3 linked regions of the Schizosaccharomyces pombe genome follow. The protein of the gene in region 1 purifies or fractionates together with the protein of each later gene. This does not show direct contact. Each region holds a gene or a part of one and is shown in the gene's direction. Other genes may lie near its edges.

What was found.
Region 2: the proteins of ubp9 (region 1) and bun62 purify together in Schizosaccharomyces pombe (affinity purification with western blotting; one study listed by BioGRID). This does not show direct contact.
Region 3: the proteins of ubp9 (region 1) and bun107 purify together in Schizosaccharomyces pombe (affinity purification with western blotting; one study listed by BioGRID). This does not show direct contact.

Annotation. Positions count from the first base shown.
Region 1 is NC_003423.3:2,933,501-2,941,216, forward strand, and holds ubp9 (ubiquitin hydrolase Ubp9), read left to right. Parts: upstream 1-2,651; 5' UTR 2,652-2,710; coding exon 2,711-2,737; intron 2,738-2,781; coding exon 2,782-2,889; intron 2,890-2,938; coding exon 2,939-2,952; intron 2,953-2,980; exon of another isoform or gene 2,981-3,009; coding exon 3,010-4,618; 3' UTR 4,619-5,262; downstream 5,263-7,716. Other genes in the region: GTPase Ypt1, read left to right, coding at 1-50, 210-541; mitochondrial outer membrane lipid metabolism regulator Opa3, read left to right, coding at 1,482-1,589, 1,655-1,812, 1,931-2,321; SPOM_SPBC1703.13C (inorganic phosphate transporter), read right to left, coding at 6,531-7,466. UniProt on the Schizosaccharomyces pombe protein: Ubiquitin C-terminal hydrolase involved in regulating actin dynamics and/or endocytosis at cell tips and septa.
Region 2 is NC_003424.3:4,573,689-4,581,222, forward strand, and holds bun62 (WD repeat-containing protein), read left to right. Parts: upstream 1-4,621; 5' UTR 4,622-4,938; coding exon 4,939-6,570; 3' UTR 6,571-7,034; downstream 7,035-7,534. Other genes in the region: SPOM_SPAC12B10.01C (ubiquitin-protein ligase E3), read right to left, coding at 1-1,753; acetylase Sdg1, read right to left, coding at 2,540-3,247; pby1 (tubulin-tyrosine ligase), read left to right, coding at 7,136-7,534. UniProt on the Schizosaccharomyces pombe protein: Required for the ubp9 recruitment to septa and cell tips but also for its enzymatic activity at these specific locations.
Region 3 is NC_003424.3:410,194-419,004, forward strand, and holds bun107 (WD repeat-containing protein), read left to right. Parts: upstream 1-4,797; 5' UTR 4,798-5,212; coding exon 5,213-5,492; intron 5,493-5,569; coding exon 5,570-8,178; 3' UTR 8,179-8,281; downstream 8,282-8,811. Other genes in the region: rod1 (arrestin/PY protein 1), read left to right, coding at 1,891-3,681; SNARE protein Sft1, read right to left, coding at 4,278-4,436, 4,491-4,607; Ctf18 RFC-like complex subunit Dcc1, read right to left, coding at 8,282-8,527, 8,566-8,811. UniProt on the Schizosaccharomyces pombe protein: Required for the ubp9 recruitment to septa and cell tips but also for its enzymatic activity at these specific locations.

The DNA of each region.
Region 1 (7,716 bases):
CTATCGTGGAGCTCATGGAATTATCATCGTATACGATGTTACCGATCAAGGTATGTAATGTGTGAAGTATGGAAAACCAATTTGATTGTCTTCCGTTTTCTGTATATGCGCGTATATGCGTTATAAGGCGTTTGGGGGATATTTTTATGGCGTTTTCTAGTCTTCACATTGTTTCCGACGCGGTTCCGAGGCTAATGCTTGCTTCTTAGATTCTTTCAACAATGTTAAGCAATGGCTTCAGGAAATAGATAGATATGCCGTTGAAGGAGTCAATCGTCTTCTTGTAGGAAACAAGTCAGATATGGTTGATAAGAAGGTTGTTGAATATTCTGTTGCTAAGGAGTTTGCTGACAGTTTGAATATTCCTTTCCTCGAAACGTCTGCTAAAGATTCTACAAATGTTGAGCAAGCTTTCTTAACTATGTCCCGTCAAATTAAGGAACGTATGGGAAATAATACATTTGCCTCTTCCAATGCCAAATCTAGTGTCAAGGTTGGTCAGGGCACTAACGTTTCCCAAAGTTCCAGCAACTGCTGCTAAACTACATGTTTGTTGGTTATACCTCTGAATGCGCTTTTAATATATTTTTATATACATACGTTTTACGTACTTCGCTGTCATTCCTTTTGTGAGTTTCATTCGCTGACGGTGAACTGCTAATATTAGGTATCTACTTTCTGAGTTTTTACGATACTTATAGAAAGTTATTTGTAGGTTTGGATGCATGCTACGTTTCCCTTTTATCAACGGTAGTTTAAAATCTTAAGCAAAGCTATGTAGAAAACTGCTAGTCTTATGTACTTTATTTTGTAGCGTGATATGATAAACTGTTGTAAACGTTGTATAATACGCGTATTGCTCATTAACTAGCACTTTACAGTATTCCCTAAAACTATAGTTGCTTGGAACTATTTGCATAACATACGGTTCGCTAACAAAAGTCATTAACTAAAAATCAAATATATAATAGTAAGTCAAAGGTTGAATGGTATGTACGTTACATTAAGAAATGAAAATACAACTGTACTACTAAGGACAAGTATTGATAACTGCGACACTAAAGTTTCTAATACAAGCAAAATATTAAGCACACACAGGGATCGGTGTAAGAAGGATTAGTAAACCAATCAGAGAAACCGACAGAATATGCATATCAAGTTCAGCAACATCAAATTTACTTTCCTCTTCCAATAACTTTTCTAATTAATAGATTAAAAAAATAAAGCACGCACTTGGTGTTGCGGTTTTAAATATTGCTATTGATTAACGGAAGAGTATATCTTCGACCTTGCATAAATATCCTAGCTATTGTTACACGCTTATATCTGCATTCTAATTTTATCGGAGATTTCTTTCTTTTATACCTCTATTTAATTGAGGTGGTAGTACTTTTAGTCGGTAATTTGAAATCCTTTGCGGGTTTATTCCCCCTCGAATATTTTTGAAGTTCTGGTATCCATTAACATTTCTCTACAATCCAATGTCTTCTCTAGCCTTAAAAATCGGAAGCTTGTTAGTAAGAACATTATCCAAACCGATTGCCAATACAATCAAAGCCCAAGCTAAAGAGCACAAGGCTTTCCGAAAGGTATAAATCAGTAAAATAGATGATAAAGAGAATCTTATAGCATTACTAACGAAATTTCTATATAGGCATGTATTGAATTTGCTCAATGGATGCATCGCGCGGAATTTAGAATAACAGGAATTAACAGAGCTAAAAGTGGAGGAGCTAATGTACGATTACGACCTTTAAACGATGCCAAAGCAGTCGATGCTGGTGCAACATTTTTATCAGAAACTTTTATATTGTATGAAAATTAATACGATTTGACGTACTTCCTCTCCACAATGCTTAATACGGCACATTGTGAAGGAGCTACGAAATCCAACTTGTCACAATGTTCTTCTCTTGCTAACAATTTACAGTACTGTTGCTGGAGGAGCCATTTTATTTGAAACATGGAGGGCTCGTAGAAAGGAAAAGAATAGACGAGATGAAGTTGCTGAAGCGATTCTTGGTTTACAACATGAAATCGTTCGTATTAACGAAATCATGGAAAAGCAGTTTGTTTTACAGAAGAAAAAGAATGAACTCCAATCTTCGACTGAGGAAATTGATAGTACCGAAAAGGATTTTGACGAACTCCACAAAGTCATTCTTAAAGTTGAACGTGAGCTCCATACTCTTCGTCAAAACACGCCAAGTCAGAACGAGCAAGCAGAAGCCACTCCTTCAAAGGAAATCCCACGTGAAACAGTCTCAGAAAAGGCAGATCATCCTCCATCTTCTAACACCAAATCGGTTTCTACAGGTTAGTGGATGGTGAATACTACGATTACACATAACTTGCATTAATGAGTAAATTTTGATACATTGCAGAAATTCATCTGTTCCCATTTCACCAAACTGATGTTTACTTTCTTTTAATTTATTGTACATTTGATACTTCGTTTAACCAGATCACATTTCCAAAATTAGTTACGGTTTATTTATAGCTTTTTTGACTTAATATCTACTGAGTTTTATCGCTCATTTTACAATACATTGCACTTCGTTATTTTAGATAGTTGGCTGTTAATATAATAATAGCCTAAGATTATGATCACCAACGTACGCCCCTTTCTGAGCGCGTGAAAGCTTCCCTTTGCGTTCACTTCCCCGCTGTGCTTGGTTTGTAAACTTAGCATCCTTTAGTTCAACTCAGCATGTCGCTGCTTCGTTGGATGGGAATGGTAATTCAATTGTTAGTTATGAATTGAAGACTGACAAACTATAGAATTCCCCAGGCTCCACTGACCGGCGTAAAAGCACTTGGGAAGCAGAGTTGCCGAAGCCATCAATTCGCCCTGAAACCCTAACAGATCGATTCTATGGTTTAACAAATGTAAGCATTTTTATTAGTTATAATTTCTTCTGCTCTAACATATTTTTAGTATGGAAATACATGGTATGGCGATCATACTTGTAGCGTTGCTTTTATGATTGTAAATTTCTAACGAAATAGTTACGTGAGTTCTGTCTTAGTATCTTTATACCATTTAAAGCCCTTTCGTGATTCTTTAAATTCGTATCCTCTTCCGAGTGCTCCTCCAAATTTTAAAAGCGTTTGTACAAAAACCAACCATCCTGAATCATCTTCCTCACGACACAGTAAGAAAAAGAGCATGGAGAATAGGAAGTCCTCTTTATACGGGTCCAATGGTATAAATTCTTGCGGCTGTGTCGATATTAGTAACGTCGGCTCTGAATCCGGGACGAAGCATCAAATCGTTGTAGGCGAAAGCAATTGTTCTGCTTATGGAATGAAAGAAAACATATATACTTGTTTAAAGGATCTTTATTGCTCCGTAAGTTGCTGTGATTGTCGTTATGGTATTTGTTCTCCCGAGCGTTTTATCCAAGTTCTACGTAGAGACAATGAAGCTTTTCGCAGTACTCAGCAGCAAGATGCTCACGAGTTTTTTAATTTTCTTCTTAATTCTGTTACAGAAACTCTTGATGAATACTACGGTAATCATTCCGACGTGATGCATCCAAAATGGGTTCATTCTTTGTTTGAAGGAACGCTTACCAGCGAGACGAAATGTTTAACTTGTGAAAACATAACGTCAAGGGATGAAAGCTTTTTAGACCTTAGCATAGATATAGAAAATCACACTTCTGTAACTTCCTGTTTAAGGTCTTTTTCTGCTTCAGAGATGTTGTCCTCCAAAAATAAGTTTCATTGTGATGTTTGCAAAAGTTTGCAGGAAGCAGAAAAAAGAATGAAGATAAAAAAATTACCGAAAATCCTCTCATTACATTTGAAACGTTTTAAATATAACGAAACCCAGGAGGGCCATGATAAACTCTTCTATACTATTGTTTTTACCAACGAAATGAGATTATTTACTACCACCGAAGATGCAGAGAATGCTGAAAGAATGTATTATCTTTCCTCTGTTATTGTTCACGTAGGAGGCGGTCCACATCGTGGTCATTATGTGTCTATCGTTCGCACTAAAACTTATGGCTGGGTCCTTTTTGATGACGAGAACGTAACTCCTGTCAACGAGAATTACCTACAACGATTTTTTGGTGATCAACCTGGTCAGGCTACTGCCTATGTTCTATTTTATACTGCTGCTGATGAAGAAGATGATGATGTTAGTGAAGTAGACACCAAGGAATCAATTAAGCCGATGTCTATTCCAAGTCAACTTAAACAAGAAAGCGTGGAAGTTTCGAATCTATCAAGTACCCCTAGATCAAACTCGACAATAACATATCCTGATATGGATCCGATGGTTGCTTCATTTTCTTCGCAGTATTCTCATAAAACTTTAGATAGAGACATCAATAGCCGTTCTTATTTTGATCGTGAACCATCACTGGATGCAGAAAGATTTCATTCAAGATCTGTTGATGCTTCTCCAAAAGCCGTACGTCGCGAAAGTCGTTCGTTTTTCCCTTCCCTTACACGAAAAAGAAGTAAATTTTTTGGATCATCCCAAAGCAACTCCCCTAAAGATTCACCATTAAGGGATACTCACAAGTCTAGTGATGAACATTCAGAGTCGAAGCACTCACATACGCTTCCTTGGCAATTCTCTAGAAGCCGTTCCAAAAGGTAAAGAATTCTTATTTGTGTTTTTTATTACACTTTTCGAGAAATTCTTTTAATGTTTTCATCTCTCATCGTTTTACTTTATATTTTTGACTTTATTTGGAAATTTTGGCCAACTTTGAAAGTCATGCGCTCTATTTATCCATATGTCACTTTTTTAATTCTTTGAATTCAGTTATTTCTCTGTGTTTATACCTTTTGGCCTTTTTCTGGTTTTTATAATATTGTTTACCGCTCGAGGTTTCATTTTTAACACACGCGTACTACAGTGATTGGTCTTCGTAATTATCTGTTGCGGTATTCAATTTTTGCTATTATGTCTTTTTATAATTGAAAATTTATGACTTTAAACTCCTAAAAGTAGCTTATCTGCTATTTCTTCTCGTTGTTCCCAATTTGAACGGCAACCTTCATACATCGAATTCGAAATTTTTTGGTTGTGACAAATTAATCGATTAAGATTATCTTACTCCTTGTCTTAGCATGAATTTAAGGTAATTAGTGTGCTTAGAATTGTTAATATTATTAATCATGATACTGCAAAATTTACTTGTTGTTTTCTTAAAGATACTATTTACCATGCATATATTATCAATTTTCTTAAGTATACTTTGAATAGCATATTTCAATATAGAGCTTTTCTTTAACAGATTTTTATTTATTTCATTATACATTATTTCATTTTATTTTTATTCATATCGACTTAATGTAAAGCAGCTTTATAATTTAAAAAATTTAGTTTGTTCAATTTTCAGGACAATTGGATGCTAAGTGTATTTTCTGAAAATGGTCTTGAAGTTGTTACAGTATTTGGTTCCTTATAGAAACCATTGTTTTAAGGCAACTTTTTTTTTTTTTAAGGGTTGTAGTATTGTTTAAATTATATGCTTAAGCAATGAAGAGGTTCCGATCTAATAATTATTTAAGTCTATCTTGTAAACTTTTCCGGATAAAACAGGATATGTGTTTATTTTCAATTTTAAAGCTTTATATAAATTAGATTTTTTAATTGAAAATGAGAAAAATTTTTTTAACCTAAATTCTACATGTTTATTTGCTAAAAAACTAGGGAACTTAGGATTTAACAATAATTAATAATAGTTGATCGACCCTTCTTCTAATTGAAATAACAAGTTATAATAGAATTAATTTTTTAACAATGAAAAGTATCAATGTACAATGACAATCCAAATTTAATATAACAATCAGACCTGATTTACGTTTTGGTAATCGAAATGCATTATTCTTTTTGTAAGCTATATACGAAATTTTGTTAATGTAGTATTTATTCAAGGTTAATAAATTTAACATCAAAGCGATTAATGCGAGGAATATTGATAAAAACAAAACACTACAGAAGCCAATGAAGGTTTAACATCGAATAGTTAACACAGTACTACACATGAGTTGTCGAACAAATTATATTATGTCAACTGTATAATCGCAATTTAGTCAATTGCGATTTAAATAGTTAATGGAACCAGGATTAAGAAGTCAATTAATATTTGTATGAATTGAATCTCTTATTGCATATCTAATATTGTAAACACTTCTTGCTAAATCATCTGTAATATAATTTCCTCTTACTCTTTACATGCAAATTGGCCGTTTGGTCTAGTGGTATGATACCATCTTAGGGTGATGGTGGTCGTGGGTTCGATTCCCACAACAGCCCAAATTTTTATGACTCACTTCATTAGTTGAAAACGCTAAAATACTAATCACATCTTCCATAAGCTGATATATACTCCTGAAAACACTTAAGAGTTACAGAAAAAGGAACTACACGTTCAAAATTTACATATAAATTTAAACACTGATAAAACAGTAAAACTTGTTAAGAGCCTATAAGAGAAAGTGGGGGGAAATTTAAAAAGCGACGTTCCATAAAATGAAAGGTTTACTATACGATAGTGCATTTAAGCACCAGTGGCAGGGAAACCACACATAATCTTGAATGAATCGTAGATGAGCCATTGAGCACCAGTCAAAGTACCAATCATGACTATACGAACACCAAGACCATTCCAAAGACCAGAAAATCCAATCTCCTTGTAGATACGAGCAGCAGCAGCGCCAGCGCCCTCACCAGCCTTTTTGTTGGAATTCAACTTGGAAACCATAACATCAGCAGGATGACTGATAATGGCGCAAAGAACACCGGCCATGTAACCACCAGCAAAAGAAATACCAATCTTTTCGGCCTTTGAATACATGTTCTTGGGCTTGCCAATGTAGGTGTACAAAGCTTCGACAATGCGCTCAAAAGAAGCAAATTTCATCATGGTGTAAGGGATTTGGCGGAACCACAAAGGAGCCAGACCACGGTATAAAGTACCGAAACCTTCATTAGTGACAATTTTAGACCACGCTTCACGAGTGGTGTTGGCAAAACGAGGGTTGGAAGTTTGAACACGGACCTTGATAGCCTCCATAGGGCAAAGCATTATATCAGCCAACAATTCAGCAGAGGCAGAAGCAGCCAAGTAAATGCTTGTACGGTATTCATGTGCCTTTTGAGCACCAACCAAAGTAGAGTATTTGTGTTTGAACAACTCATAAAAACCGTACTTACCGCAGCCTTGAAGAGAATAACCAATCAAGGTGGGCATACCACCGGTATACAGACCGCGAAGTCCCTCCTTGCTGAGGATAGTCTTGAAACCAGCAATATTACCAGGGTAGATATTTGGATTGACTTGTTTGCGACATTTGATTAAATCCAAAGGGGTAATGGCACTGTGCGTAGTACCACAAGCCAACAAACCACCCAATGTACAAAGTCCGTAGTATTGGGGAGTGTAAAGCTGAAGGGTCTTTTTAGGAGGAGCAGGAGGTATCAAGGGGGTAGACATGATGAACTAATAAAGTGGGTATTTTAAAACAAAAAAAATGAAAAATATATCAACTGTTATGTTTCAAGATCCTTGATGACTACAAGCCTTTACAATCACAAGAAAAAAAACTTATCGTGAGTTCAAAGAACAAACCTTCGAGTTTGCGTTATAAACAGTTCTAAAAAATAAAAGAAAAAGAAATCTCCAACTAAGGCTATCTCCTATTGAGAAACTGCTAAAAATGAATATTTAGGAATCCGGTTGAGTA
Region 2 (7,534 bases), on another chromosome or scaffold:
TTATCGTTTCAATTATGTTTGGTGAAGTTTTCAAAGATTCAATAATTGTCTCCAGGCAAGAATATGCCTTACTAACGACTATGGTATCAGAAGATTGTAGAATATTAGAAAGCAATGGAATAATTTCTTCTGCTGCGGAAGCATTGGATTCATCCAAAAACTTACAGCAATTAGCAGCCAGAGAAATAGCTGTCCGTTGAACTGTAGTATAAAAAAAATCAAAGTATTGGAGAGCAGCTAACATTCCTCTGTGTTCCAAAATACAAATACCAAAATCTTTAGAAAGCCGTTCTAAAACTCCTAAAGCTTGTTCAGCAATATCAATGTATTGCATATCAAACATTCTTTCACACAGAATGCGAACAATAGGACTATATGCTATTTTAGCCATACATAAAGGCAAAGCTTCCATCATATTAGATACACAGGTAGTACAGGATAGCATAAGTTGAATAGAGACTTCTCCGAAATCATAATTTCGCCCAGATAAGATTTCGGAAAAAGCCGCAATGTATGAATCGGTTGAAAACAATCCAACAAGCATATCTTCAGTACTCATAGCAAACGCTTCGGAAAGTTCTTGAAGAGAAAGCATTTGAACAGTAGGATCACTAAAATCCTTTATTCCTTCTAACAAGCGTCCAAATTGAACACCTGGAGCAGAAAATGCAGAACGAAAAGGATGAAAGGAACTATTGAAACGGTATGTCTGTGGACCTAAAGAAACATCTTCGTCATCAGAGTTCTCCAAATTACCGGAAGAAAGTATAGAAGACGCTAAACTTTGAAACTGATTACCTCTTCTGATTCTTCCCAGTTCATTTAACAAGTTAGTTTCATCGTATTCTTCGATTCCACTCATGTTCATGTTTTCTTGTTCATTAATAACAGCGGCTGAAGGATTAGGTGAACCGTTTTCGCTTCTTAACTCGTCATTTTCATTTTCATCTTCATCGTCTCCCTCATCATTGTTTTCATCATCGTCTTCTTCCTCCTCTTCATCAACATCTTCATCTCTTTCATAACTTTCACTGCCACTACTGGATTCATCGTCTTTGTACTCGTTATTATTTATATCATCATCAGTTCCATCATTAGTATCATCATAGACGTGGTCATCTTGGTCATTATATTGGGACGAATCAGTAGAAGTATGATAGTTGCTGGAGTCAGAATACGTAGTTTCATAAGAGTTTGAATTCCCAAACTTGGTTAAGCCACTTTTGTCATTAAAAGTTATGTTCTTTGGTTCCATAACTGATTTATCAAATGGAATGATATCAACTTCCGCCTTTTTGTCTAATGCAGAATCAACCGAAGCATTGCTTAAAACGCGTTCATAAGAATTCAGTATATCCGATTGCTTATTAAGAGGCAACACACCTTTATCGGATTTCACTAACTGGGGTTTACCTTTGAGCTTTTCATTAAAGGATTTAAAGACCCTAGTTTTGCTCGTTGTAAGTGGTTGTTCAAGCAATTCGGAAAAATCATGCCGCATATTTAAATGCCTTCCAAATTCCACACTTTTACTAGAAGGTGGTTCAGAAATTTTGGCAGATACCTCCATTTTTAAAAAATGTTTAGTTGCTCTGCGTTTCTTTGTAAATGGCAATTCTTCAGAAGTGTTTAATCTATGTTTGTTGTCGGACTTACTTCGTAGGTTTGGTATAAACACAGGTGAGTTGGTTATAGATTCACTATGTATTAAATTCGGTAAATTCGGAGTATTCGTATACGCTTGAACAGACATGAAATAACAAAATGTCGCTCAGAAAGGCTAATTTAATAAACAAAATTTGGAAGCCTTTCGGCGAGCGATTGGAGTGATTGTTAATTACAATCCAACAAAACAATCAAGTAATTTCTGAACCAAGGAGACAAAATCCCAGTTTTAATTTGATCCTTCTATGATCTCTTGTTTAAGGCGGAATGTGCTGTTGACATAGGGAGATGGCAAAAGCGTCGACAACAAGGGCGCACCATTATGTTGCCGTAGTATGTGTTATAGTAATACGTTATTACTCTAAGTACTATTGTTTTTTTCTGTCTTTTACTGTCATTAAATATTTTTAAATTTGTTTTTTATTTGCAAGATGCTGTATTTTATTTATTGATTCAGCTTTGATTCACACTCGTTAAACGTACTTTTGTAGTCGATCGATTGTGTTTTTACAAGCATAATTGACGATAGTGAAATGAGATGCTCACTTAGTATTCACTAACATACATCAGTTATATAATATTAAGTTTACATTCAAATTGTTTTGTACAGTCTAGCGGGTACGAACTCTTGAACATGGAGCGGACGTAATGAAATAGTTTCTAAAACTTTTAACAATTATTCAACAACACGGTGGGTCTAGTTTTTGCCCTAGGTAGAAATTTACTTGAACGTCGTGAAATTCTTTCGTAACTATTTCACGAAAAAAATAAACACAAAACAAAAAGATTTAAAATATGAACATACAGCGAAAAACAAGTTGTAGCTGCGCAATTACATGCACGAAAGGGTAATATTTGCGGAAAGTTAAATAATCTATCTTCTATTTTCAAAACCAGGTTGTTCGCTCAAATTCTTTTGAAGCACTAAACGGCGCAATCCGAAAAACGATAGATAATCGAAAGCTTCATCAACTACAGGAGTAAAGTCTTTTCTTTCAAAAGCCTTCAACATTGGGTCGGTTGAATAAACTCGTGCTGAGACCACGTCAGCACCCATCTCCTTCGCCTCACGAAGTGCTGAATCTAGGAGATCAAACGCATACTGATAAAATTTAGGAATGACAGTCCAGTGGACAATAGTTGGTGTGTTTTGGTATGCACCAGGAGCATTTGCAGGCAAGATACCTATAATACCAATAACTCGTTCTTTGTCAATGCGGGCCATATAAAAATGTTTAAGATTCTCTTCAGCCAAGCAGCCGTCAGGTTGATTGTCTTCAGTGCTAATCTTTGCATACACATTTCTACAGGGAAATTCAATCAACGTCAAAAAGACAGCGCTAACCAATATTAATAAAACAAAAGTTCGTAATTTTGTATTTCCTTCTACCATGTTTGTTAAGCGATATATCCCCATAAACACCAAACCAAAAACCGCAAGATACAACGGGTGCCAAAAGATTTTTTGAGAGAGATTTCTCGATTGACCGTTCAACGCATTCATGGCAATCGATCGAATACTCGACAGCTCCGCAAGGGTGGGACGACGAATATCAATTCTTTTACGTTGCACATTCGACATTTTTATGTAATTAAATATTCTTTTTTGCTAATCTTTTTAAAATTTATTGTCACAATATTTCTTTTACAATTACCTTCTACTGTGAAATTTAAGAAGATGGAGGTTCGTAAGTGGAGTAGGTAAGAATGAAGCCATTATACCACCATAGATTTACCCAACCCTTGGTTGTTTCAGTCAATTTTTGCGAATTGTAATTTCATACAACTAGAATTTGATCAAATCTACCCTCTTATTAAATGATTGAGATTATTGATTCTATTGATAAATCACATTTAGGGTCAACTAGCTTTTAAAATGTTTTTAGGAATAGAAAAGAATATTGTGACGATCGAAGTAACATTTCTAGCTGAAATAACAATTGGATTTATAAGCTATATCTTCAGTTACTAAATAATTAGTTTCTACAATTTTTTTAGGCTTGAATATTAAATCTTTAAATAATTCCTAGGATAAAAAGAGTATAATGTATACATAGGAACAGAATATACATTTAAAAAAAATGGCAATTGAGTAGAGAAATAGGGAAGGTAATAATGCATCGATTAGATTGCATAACAAACTTTACATGAATCCGAAAACCAAGGATAGGAAATCCATTTACAGTATTTTTCACTATATAAATTAAAGCTTCATAGATTACACTACTTTCAGCGTGCCTATTTTGACCAAGAGTGAAAATATACTACACTCACAAAACGTATAAATGCTGAATTTTCACTTCTTGCAAGTTACAAATATTGCAAATTTCACCGTTTTCGAAATTCTTGTATAATAGGGCCTTACTAACTAGCTCATAACATTATAAAGCTATAACACAACGATAAGTTTTTTGAGTGATCAAAATTATTTTACACAGTTAATTTGCCAATGATTTGGTTATATTAAGAATTATAGATACTAAATAGTATTACACTTTACGAATAACTTAAAAACTATACTAAAGAAAGAAGTTCCATTGCATTATCCTTATTCTTAAATAGCTTTTGAATATAAAAAAGCAATGAAGAGTACCCAAGGGGACAGAAACGTAAATAATTCCTGACACGTAGTATATAGTGATGGTTAACGGGATACAATATAATCGTGCAAAGTGCTAATAAAGTTTTGTTTCAAAGCAATGCAGTATGTATCTGCTATATTTTAACGCAAGTTTAAAGAGTTCTTTATTTGAACTATTTAATGAGTTTTAAAAAATGTGATTGATCCAAATATTGCAAAGAATAGTGTATTGAAATATTTACCTCAAGCAGCTTCAATAAATGTTAAAATGAAACACATACCCTTTTATTAACGTAAATTGGGTTTGTTCTTTAATTAGCGTTATTTATGTCGCTTTCATATTATAAGTGACACGCTACTCCTTTAGAAGATTTCAACAAACTGTACGGTCGAGCTAGTCGGTTAAGAACATTTTACGATTTTGCAGGAAATTCAGTCTTCTGCATAAGTTTTAATTATAAATTAATTTGTTCGAATGCGATTTCGTATACTCCTATTTTAATTCTCATTGATTAATAAAAGAGAAAGCAGTAGCTTAAAAATCGCTCTTCTTACTAGATTCACTAATTTAAATACATTTCTTAATTGTCTTTTACGACTTCATTGAATAGAAACTTCTCAGTACTTGAGGTCGTTACCATTTGGATTGTTTCAGCAGAACTTTCACTTCTTATCCTTTACCTAACTATATTATGCAAACGATGTCTTCTGGAATTGCCCGTCCGGTTCTGTTTTTAACTGCTCGCGAGGGAGAATATGTTTTGAAGGATGAATTTCAATTAGGCAGTTCATCACGTTCTACTCCTCAAATTACCGGTTCACCTTTAGATCCAAACACGCCTGTAAAACGTCTGTTCTTTATGCGGATAAATATTGCTCAATTCTCCCGTTGGGATTACCCCTATCCACGAGAATATATTGAAGAACTTAAGAAAATTCATGGCGTTCATCATGTTGAAGAGAATAGAGATGTCCCCTCAATTCTTGAAAATTATCGCAATAGTAAACGAAAGTCCCACAACTTTTCTTCCTCTAACACTCCTTATTTGAAGCTTCACAGACCGGCCTCTCGTGCTGGTGCTCCTTTAATCAATGCTAAATCCTTTATCTCCTCCCTTACATTTCATGACAACATAGTACGTTCTTTTCAGCCTTCTATTCATGGTAAAACCTTTGTGTTTGCTAATCACGAAAAATCGTTTTATTGGCTTGATGTGAGTGCTGCTAATTCCCATTCTGCCTTACTCAAAATGGAATTTCCAAGGGCATCACCTGTTTGCCATGATATAAATTCCTTTACTAAAAGTCCCAAGGGCTTGGACGTAATAATTGGGTTTGATACAGGCGACGTACTTTGGTATGATCCTATTAATTTCAAGTATTTACGCTTTAACAAAAATGGACAGCTGAATAGCTCCTCTGTTACCGCTATAAAGTGGGTTGCTGGCAAAGATTCTCAATTTTTGGTATCTTTTCGCAATGGTTGGCTTGTGCTTTATGACAAATATCGTCACGAGCAACCACTCCATATTGTGGTACCGGAAAAAAACCTAAAATCTTTATATCTTAGTTCTCCAGGAACCTTTAATATTCTCATAAGTATTAATCACCGAGATGACCGTAAACTCAATCCGGTTGCTTGCTATGCATTTTCAAAATCACCGATTAACGGCTTTTGTTTCAGTCCCGATTATCAATACCTGGCACTCGTCTCTGAGAGAGGAACATTGAAGCTTTTTGATTTTGTGAAGGAACACGTCCTTGATGTTTTTCATAGTTACTTTGCTGGGTTAACCTGTGTCACCTGGTCTCCAGATGGTAAATTTATCGCTATAGGAGGTAAAGATGATCTGGTTTCAATATACTCCTTTCCTTTACGAAAGTTAGTAGCTCGCTGTCAAGGCCATAAATCTTGGGTCACCGATGTGATATTTGATGCTTGGAGATGTGATGATGATAATTATAGAATAGCTAGTGTAGGACTCGACAGAAAACTACTACTCTGGGATTTCAGTGTGAGCGCTATTCATAGACCCAAGTCTGCAGTTTATTATGTGAATCATCATTCTAATAATTCTAAACCAGCTATAAGTGATTTTGATGATGTCGGTGATTTAACAATGGGATCAGAAATTGACAATTCAAATTATGTGAACGGCGATATTACTATCCATCCTACATTATCTCGTTCTTTAATACCTGTTATATCACCTATTACCATTTACGATGTCGATGATAGTCCTCTCAGTTCCGTCTTCTTTGATCCTGACTGTATGATAACATGTGCTACAAACGGAAGAATTCGAACATGGCAACGTCCATAAACACACATTAGATGCCTTAAGTTTTTGGTTCATTGTTTTCTCAATATTATAGTACTTACTGTATAACTATGTTTTTTTTTCTTTTTTCAAATACTGACGTTTGGTTAACAGTGATTATAGCTCTTTTGCTACTAATCTTAAATCTGTATATTTAAATTTTAATTTGTGTTTTGAGTAACACTTTTCAATTTTTCAGTTGGTGTGCTAGCTCATGCTTTTTCCCTTACATATTCAAGTCTTCTCTTTGTTTTGCAAAAACAATTATTAAAGATATGCAAAGTTCATTAACAGACTGTAAGAGAAGAGTTATTCATTTCAGAGCCCAAACTATAAAGTATTAGTTATATTGTCAATAGATGTTATCGTTAAAGCCCTTCTTATTCCCAATATGACAAATCTTAATGAAGCTATCCAATTTTAATGTTATTTGTAATTTTTAGTATAGTATGTATTTATGATCTATTTTTTCTTTCACCCTACTAAAGAATTGCGCTTTTATATTTTTTAATATTCGTTGTATCCTCCTACCCCAACTCTAGAAAGTCCAAAGAAGGTAGTTTCGTACATGTCTTCTACTAAGAAAGACATAAAAGTTTATGTCAACTATCGTGACGAGTATGCAGAGCCAAAAATCATATCTGCGTTGAAGAATAGTGGAAAAGAGTTAACTTTTACAAATTCAGCGAAGGAAGCAAATTTTCAATGGGCACAGTACGAAGATATCGACTTTGACGAAGTTTACAAGAACCCAAAAACAAAACTTTGCTGCTCTTATGTGATTCGCAAGGCTTTAATCAGGAAAGAATACCTCTGGCGTACTGTCATAACGTACCTGGCAAAACATCCGGATTCAATATTGTCTAAATCGGTGCCTGAAGCCTATTCTTTGGAATTAGACTATGCAGAATTCCTTGATGATTCATTAATGGAAGCTTATGAACTTCGTCAAGAACTGGAGGAAAAT
Region 3 (8,811 bases), on another chromosome or scaffold:
TTCCTAAATTTGATTTTGCCAATTGTGCAACTTTTTACATTACTGTTCGCGATGTAAACATTTAAGATTAAAATTTTTTTTAATTTTAATTTATACAAAGAAAATTTGCTTTAATGTCGCTATTCGAATTTATGAACAAATTTTTTCTCTTTACTTACAGATTATTTTTTGGTTTCCAACTTATACAATTTAGGTACTATTAAAAAATAAAAAATAAAGGATAAAGCTTTATTTAACACCTAGTAACTACGTTAGTACAACTTTCTTTCTTATTACATGCATACGTCTAATTATTTACCCAAACATTTGGTAACCTCCTAACCTGCCTTTGTGGAGAAGTGACTTGACTGCTTTGCTATACAAACTAGCGAAAGTATTACCTTTTTTAAAAATCATTAATGCTCCATTACGTTAATTCAGAGATAGTGTATAATTGTAGCATAACACTGGATCAGATTATTGTAGCAATACGTTAAGTGGGGGGATTGGATTCAGCAGTTGCATTTGATTAGAGGTTTGTAATCTGGGTTTAGTCTTAATTTCTTGTAATTATTCGATGGATACGTAACGATATTTGATATTATAGAAACATCTAAAATAATATTTTTTTTTAATAGCTCTACAAGTTGTGCAACATTTATAACAGAAGCAGGAAACACACTAGCAATGTAAAAAATAATAACAATGAGACGTCAATGATATCCACATCTATAATTCGTAATTGTTCAGAGGCACACTTATAAATTAAAATGAAAATAAACCATTCCTCGATATATATCAGAGTCTTGCGAATTGATTCCAAAAACGGTAATGCATTGTGAATTAAAAGTTTTGCTATAATGATGGAAAGTTCAATGAGGCTATAGAAAGCGAGTCACACTACACGAGATTCAAATAATAATACCAAAAAGGTGCTATTGACTATTAAGCGTGTCTCAGGATTACTGTCCTTTACTAATCATAAAGCTTATTAAATATTTGGTTAACACTCAAAACTCAAACTTTTAATGCTGTATTATTCTAGCCACTCATATTTGCTATATTGTATTTGTACAATGTGGGATACTTAATTTCAATTAAACTGAAGATTAAGTTGTGCTAATGTTTATAGAGTAGAGGGGTTAGTTAAGAAAGGAGTTTGTTATATATCGATGGTGAATGAGAGTCGATTGAAGGTATCAATAAACAGCAAAAAACTGAAAAATTCAAACGCATAGCACTTATTTTTACTATGTGATGTTTAAGAAAAAATGTAATGAAAAGTTTAAAGTGGGGAAAGAAGGTTCTTACCAATATTCTGCACATCTGTCTCTAGTAAAACCCAATAACGTACCTTGTCCACTGAATCAAGCTTGCCCGGGTATTTCGTTGCATAGCTATGAATGAGGGATACGAAAACAGTCCCGCTTAATATATAAAAAACACGACTATTTTAAAAATTTTATTTACTTCGTACAAACTAGTGAAACATCTAAAATTGTTTAAAATTTACACAATAGTGTGTATAACGAAACTAGCTAAACTTTGTTTATGTAATGTGAGAAAGTATGTAATACTATATTACAGCAGGTTGCTTATAAAAACGTCACCACACAACAGTCCTTTAACCTTCGCTTTGTCTACATTATTGAAGTTATAAACCCCAAGAAAAAGTATTTTTGCATTTTTGTATACACAAATCAAATTTTAAGGGAAATTTTTTAACACGGTACTTTTCGTTTTTTTGTCTAATTGTTTCAGGGTAGTACATTCTCAAATAATCCAAAGCCGGGGTCTTTTGGGTTGTAATAGTTATTTACATAAAATTGTTGACTAAATATTTCAGAGAGAATTCATTATTCTTACTTTTGAATCCCTTTTCAAATATAAAATTGGTTCCTTGTGTTAGAGATGAATATTCTCTCAAGGAAAGAAAATGTCGCTTCCTACTTCGATATTCGTGTAGCTGCAGAGCATGATCTTATCGTAATTCAAGGCCTAGCAGACTCGGCAGAACCGACACCACTGTCAGGATCTGTAGTTCTGTGTCTCAATGAAGCCATCAGTGTCAAAGCAATATCTCTAAAACTAGTGGGAAAATGTCGCATCTCCTGGTCAGAACCTTCTCCGACTGTAAGAGGCGGCCAAAGACACAATAAGCAAGAATATGTTGTTTACGAGAAAAACTGGATCTTCGTTCCTTATACGGGTGCCAACCGTACTTTACGTGCTGGAAACTACGAGTATCCGTTTCACGTAATGCTTCCCGGTGATATTGCTGAATCTGTCGAAGGTCTTCAAAGTTGCTATGTTGTTTATCGTCTTAAAGCAAGCATCGATAGAACGGGTTTAGCTAGCAAAATGGTGAAAAAGAAACACATCCGTCTTATTCGAGCATTGCCTGCGGATGCCATTGAATATACTCAAACCATTAGCGTTGATAATACTTGGCCAAACAAAATTGAGTATACCATCAGCGTTCCAACAAAAGCCTATGCAATTGGGTCATATATTCCCATTCATTTTGTATTAGTTCCGTTGCTGAAGAGGCTAACTATTGGAAAAATCAGTATAACCTTGAAAGAATACATCACGTTGCATGTCGCTCATGGATATAACGGTTTACCGGCATCGAAAGATGAAGTCAGGACCGTTCGTTCTCTTCAAACCGAAGAATTGGAGGAGTTTTCCGATCACTATGAACTTACAAAGAACTTGGAACTACCAAGTTCTCTTGTGGAATGTCTTCAGGATTGTGATTTGGATGGAATTAAAATACGTCACAAATTAAAGTTTTCCGTTTCCCTAAGAAATCCTGATGGCCATATATCAGAATTAAGAGCTGCATTACCTGTAGTCTTGATGATACCTCCTCAATTATTTGGCGATCGTGCCGAAGTAGAGTCGTTACGCGAGAATTTTGAAAGTTTTAATCAGCCTTTACCTAGCTATCAAAACAGCATGTATGATCGTCTTTACGATGGTTTGAGCTATTCCAACCTTGATACACCTCTCCCTAGTGGCGCAACTACACCAAGGCGACGCGATTCTATGGAGCCCACCTATGCTTCTAATGAAGCTCATAGGCGACAACTCATTGCTGGTTTGACAGAGTTGGCTCTACAACAACAACCGCAAGGAAGGAGCCCCAACGAACATTCACCGTCAAATCATCCTGAAGATTTCCCGCCTTCTTTCAGTTTAGGCTCTAATCCATCCAGTGGAGCTGCCTCTGCTGTAATTACTAGAAACCCTTCAGAAACTAGTTTGGCAGATCTGAGCAGAGTCCCTTCTTATAAGGAAGCAACAAGATCAGCCGTTCCATTAGAATCACCCTTACAATCAACATTACCTAGTTATGAAGATGTTGCACGAATTGAGCACCTTTCACGTCCTCCATCACCTGGTATCGTTACTCCACCACAACGTACATCTCCTTCATTTTTTGTTTCTCCAACTGAAAGTACACGACAATCCTTGGATAGTCGTAGGTCATTCGAACACTCCACATCTTCTTCTTCGGGTATAAGCCCATCTCACAGTAGTGCTTCTTTAGCTCATCTTTCTCAAGCCTCCAATCCAAATGGATCGTCTTCTGCCCCGCATAGGCCCACATCAGCTCGTGTAGGAAGTCACCGAAACGCACTAGACGCTTTAAGACGGGCGCGTATGCTTCCATCTGGATTTTCAAGAAGAAATTGAAGTTTTGAGCACTATTTTTAAATTTTTGCGCAAACATCGGAAAAAGAGTATTCATTACCTGTACTTCCGTACATTTGAATGCTGTGTTCTTAAAAAAGCCTAAATCAATACAAACATCTCATGGTCTGCATGCACAAAGCTTGAACGTGAAGCTAAGGTGTTAAAATTTTTATTATTATTTATTTTTGTGCCCTTCCTTTTGATCTTTTTTTTTTTTTTTTTGCCGGTTGAAGGTGAATGAATACTTAGTTTGTGGCACAATGTCATGATTCTATTCAATTAGTACTGCGTCTCTTTGCTTAAAACTCTTTCCTAAAAGTGAGGAATATCAAGCTTAATATGGATATACAGTCATAATTAAATTTTTTATTATTTTTACTTTTATGGTGGACTTATTGAAATTTCGAGGAAGGAGTAGTATTTCGTTAAGAATATTTCATGTAATTCTGCGCTTATATTTTCAAATTTATCTTCAGAATATTCATCGATAAATTTATTGCCTATAAGAATTCAAAGCTTGTACATTTTATAATTTTGAAGCAGGAGGTTATGTCATTATATCCGTTCCTTTATGTAGCATTCGCTTTCATGTCGTGTTAAAAAAACCATTTGGATGCATAGTAGATTATTAGTATACTCCCTACGATTGCCAGCACCATTGTCATGATTCTTCGTCGTCCGGCACTTCGAACCACACGGAAGAAATTTTCGGTGGATTTTTTAACAGAATTTGAAAGTCCTGAAAAGCTTTCAGTCTATAATAATACAGGTTAGGTAAAAACTCAAATTTTTTTTTTTAAATTACATACAGCCCGATCAATTCGAGTATAGTCATTGGCACGGGAATAAATATCGTAGGTTACGTTTTTCAAAGAAGAAACCTGCCCAGACAGAGTTTCCAAACGCCGCTCATTTTGATCATTCATTATAGAAATAACTTTTACAAAAATGAATGTACATACGTTAGCATCTTTCTATATCACTTGGAGTACTACCAAAATTTAACGACATTTAGGACGTGGTGATAAATCCTTTAACGAATCTCCTAACTTGATTCTATTTTCGTCGAGCTCAAACATAATGTTATCTACAATTCTTAGCATCAGCCGCCTAATTATTGCTTTATCAAATGCCAATATCGATCGGACTACTTATTAGTAGGTAAATGGTTTGGAAGTTCATCGTTTCCATCCATTTTTAATGAGCAGTAGGATCCGTTCTTTAACATCTGAGTTATTTGAGGAATTGCTATTCATCGCTAAGTCAAAACATATAATATATTTGTATAGGTACTCGCTACCAAAATATTTGGATCCATTACTGTTTCCTGTTTCCAAGTAAAAGGGTTTATTTATCCGCTGCGTTTTAGACTCAGGACACACTATCTTTCTGCAATACTTTTGAACCTGAATTCATTCAATAAATTGAATTCGACATCATATAATATAAATTTTTATTTTTTACGTTTGAATTGGATTTTTTGTTTATAATTGCATTGTTTTAAGAGATTAATAATTCATTTATTGTTCTCATGAGTGTTCGGAAACGGTACAAGGTTACTTATGTTCTTGATTCCTGTAACGATCAACTAGGGCACCGTTTGGATGCTAATTGTCTAGTGCTAGGTCGGTACTTTTCAGAACAAGGGTCAGCACCAGTTACTAGAGCACTTTACAGTGGTGGCCGAGATGGACAGCTTTTCGGTTGGGACATCGGGTATGATTATGGTAAAGCTTCCCAGCCCTTAGCCAAAATCCAGGCTCATTCTGCTTGGGTAAATGATATAGCTTTAACACATGATTCCGAAGGAGGTAAGCCTTTGAAAAATTTAATTATCTCTGGAGAATAGCGGTAGCCTTATAGAAATTGACGTTCTAACATTTATTAGTGATATCTTGTTCTTCTGATTCAACGGTGAAACTCTGGAAGCCACATGTCTTGAATGCTTCTTGTTTATCAACAATTGGCGAGCATACCGACTACGTAAAGCGCGTAAGCATTCCCAAATATTCCAAGAGTCCGTTAGTCGCTTCGGGTGGGTTGGATAAAAGGATAATTGTATGGGACTACAACGTAGGTCAAGAAGTTATGCGATTTGAACAGTTACCTGACTGTTCTCTTGTTGTTGGTCCAAGATCTGGTGTTTACTCGCTGGCAGCGAATAACAACATAATTGCTAACGGCGGACTACAAAAAGACATTCAGTTATGGGATTGTGTTTCCAAGAAAAGGATTACAGATTTAGTCGGTCATACTGACAATGTTCGAGATATTCTAATTAGTGATGATGGCAGAACAATTCTCACAGCCTCTTCAGACGCTACAATAAAGCTTTGGTCTCTAAGGGCGCAAAAATGTTTATTCTCTTTCATAGCTCATTCAGACAGTGTATGGGCATTATATTCTGAGCACCCAGATTTAAAAGTATTTTATGCTGGTGATCGCTCAGGCTTGATTACTCGTACTGATATAAGAAACCAGCCTAACAACCAAAGCTGTACTGCAATATGCAAGCAGGATGCTCCTGTCTCTGACATTGTTGCTCGTCAATCTTTCATATGGAGTACTAGTCGTGATGGCTCCATTCTTCGTTGGAAGGATGAGCCCCTCTTTAATCAGGACGTGGGAGCAGCATTATCTAAGCATACCTCATCTCATCTTTCTGTATCATCGGACTGTCCCTCGAGACATTCTTCTGACATACGAAATCATAGCTGTCCAACATTATATCACGACGATGCTGAGGATATATATTATGATTTGCATCATACTGAGAGCTATTCTAACATCAATTTAACCAAAACCCCTGATTATGTTATTCATGGTGGTATTGGTTTGTTAAAATATCGAATGTTGGGTGATCGAAGGCATGTCTTAACTGAAGACGCTGTCGGCAATAAATGTTTGTGGGATATACTTGCTTGTAAGCAAGCCGGGGAATTTGATAAGTCAGAAGATTTTGAAAAGATTGTTCAAAGTTTGGATACTGTTCAAGCAATACCTAGGTGGGCTTCTGTTAATTGCCTTTTGGGGATTCTTGCTGTTACTCTTGATGAAAATCACTACATGGATGCCGAAATTTATGCTGATGAATGTCCTCTTCTGAAGGTTGATTCCCCTTCTGATAAAAGAATAAACTTAGGGGTGTGGATTTTAAAAAATTTATTTCGTGAATTTATTGATGCCGAGCTTCATCGTGATTTAAAATTTAGACAAAATTTAGATGTTGTAAGGTCTGAAGCTAAGAAGCAGATAGAAGCCCAGAGAGAAGAAGCAAGAAAGGGAAATGTGAATATGCCATCAGCTTTGTCTCCATTGAGGATTCGATCTCGTCCATCACCTTTATCTCTTCCTCCAGAACCTTTACTTTCTCCTACTATAGATTATTCCGCTACCCCATTCCCCCTCGAGCCTCCCCCCGAAAGTCCTGGTCCGTCTCTTCAAATTCCATCAAACAACCCCGTTTACACAAATTTAACAGATACAGATTCTATGATGGGTGCGCCAGATTACTTTTCGATCCCCGCCAGGCAAAATCGTAACAGAAAGCCACATACTGAGGTAGTTGGATCCCCTACTGTTGTGAGAACGAAAGAGATAATTCCCCCCAAAGTAACTCGTGAAGGTTCATTTATGGGCAGACTTAAAAAACTTGGAAGATCAAAGTCATCCAAATCATTACAAACCGATTTTATGAAAGCTTCTGTAGAGAGAGCTGCGTCAAGCCGCGTTTTCAGTACCGGGACTTCGGTAACTTCTCCGCAAGCATTGTCTAAAACTAATAATACTGTTAATAATGCTGCAAATACAGAAAATAACACACTAGCTAAAGATAAGCAACAAACTTCAGAGGCATCATCACCTGGTACCCCGCGAGAGCTGAAAACGACTGGTGAGTTGATTGAAGATCTTCATGAACAATATGTACATTTTAAGGATAAAGACACCGTTCTTAGTTTAATGAAACCACCAAACGATGATACGTTTCCCATGTTAAATCTTTCGAGTCAGATTACTGTTATCATCAGCGAAGAATCTCCTGAAGCCGGTAATTCTCGTGACATATATCGTTCTACTCTTGAGAACATGGCTGACGATATTGACTTACTTGAAAATATTATGCCCTTTTGGCTTGGAAGATTACTGTTATTAAACGAATTTCCTTCTAAAACTGCCCCTACTGTTAATTTTACTCTTCAGCCTTTTCCTGGAAGTGGTTTACCGCTTATTGTAAATGAAAACACTCGTTTAAGTGCTAGTGCTATGCTTCGTGCTCAGAAAATTATGGATTATAGCTATAGCAAGCTTAGCCAACAAAGAAAGGATGTATCATCCCTTCAATTTAGATGCAAAGATGTCGTCGTTACCCCCAAAATGACATTGGCAACTGTTAAGGCTCGAATTTGGCGATCTGGAGACGACGTTGTCTTTCATTATGATGTTGCTCCTAGATCTGTTTCAGAAATTGTTGATAAAACCCAGAGTCTTAATATTTAAAACTTAAGTTTGATTAAAATTTTAATTGATTTCATAATCCTGTCGAAAATAATGTACAATAAAATCAAGTTTTCAACCTGTATAGTACCGGCCAAATAAGGTTTTACCATGTCCCTCTAGAATTAATGTAAACACCGTCCCTACTGGTTTGTTTTCGCCCATATTTCAATATAAGAGCTTCAACTCTTGATTTCGACAAGGCAAGATCTTTAACGAAACTCCAAAGTTCTTCATATAACCATTTCGACTTAAGTTGAAACAAAGATTGAAACCGCCTACTTGGTTCTCTCGGTAACTGATCTCCTGATAAATACTGAATCGTATTTGGGGTATCGTGAAAATAATAACCCTAAAGAGTTTTAGCATTAGCTGACTAAAATGCCCTACCTTTAATAAATTCAAAGAAGGAAGTCCTTTACAAGGATACGGAAGACGATTATCCCATAACTGAATGAACTCATCGGAGCTTATACTGTTGATGCCTTCTAACAAAAATCGCCCATACCAAAAAGTCGTCAACTCTAAATCGATATTGAATTTTTTAGGTAAGACATTGTCCTTAATGGGTGAAGAGATACTTTCAAGAACACAAATTACTGAATCCCAATCAAATTCGTCATCCATAGCTGGCTT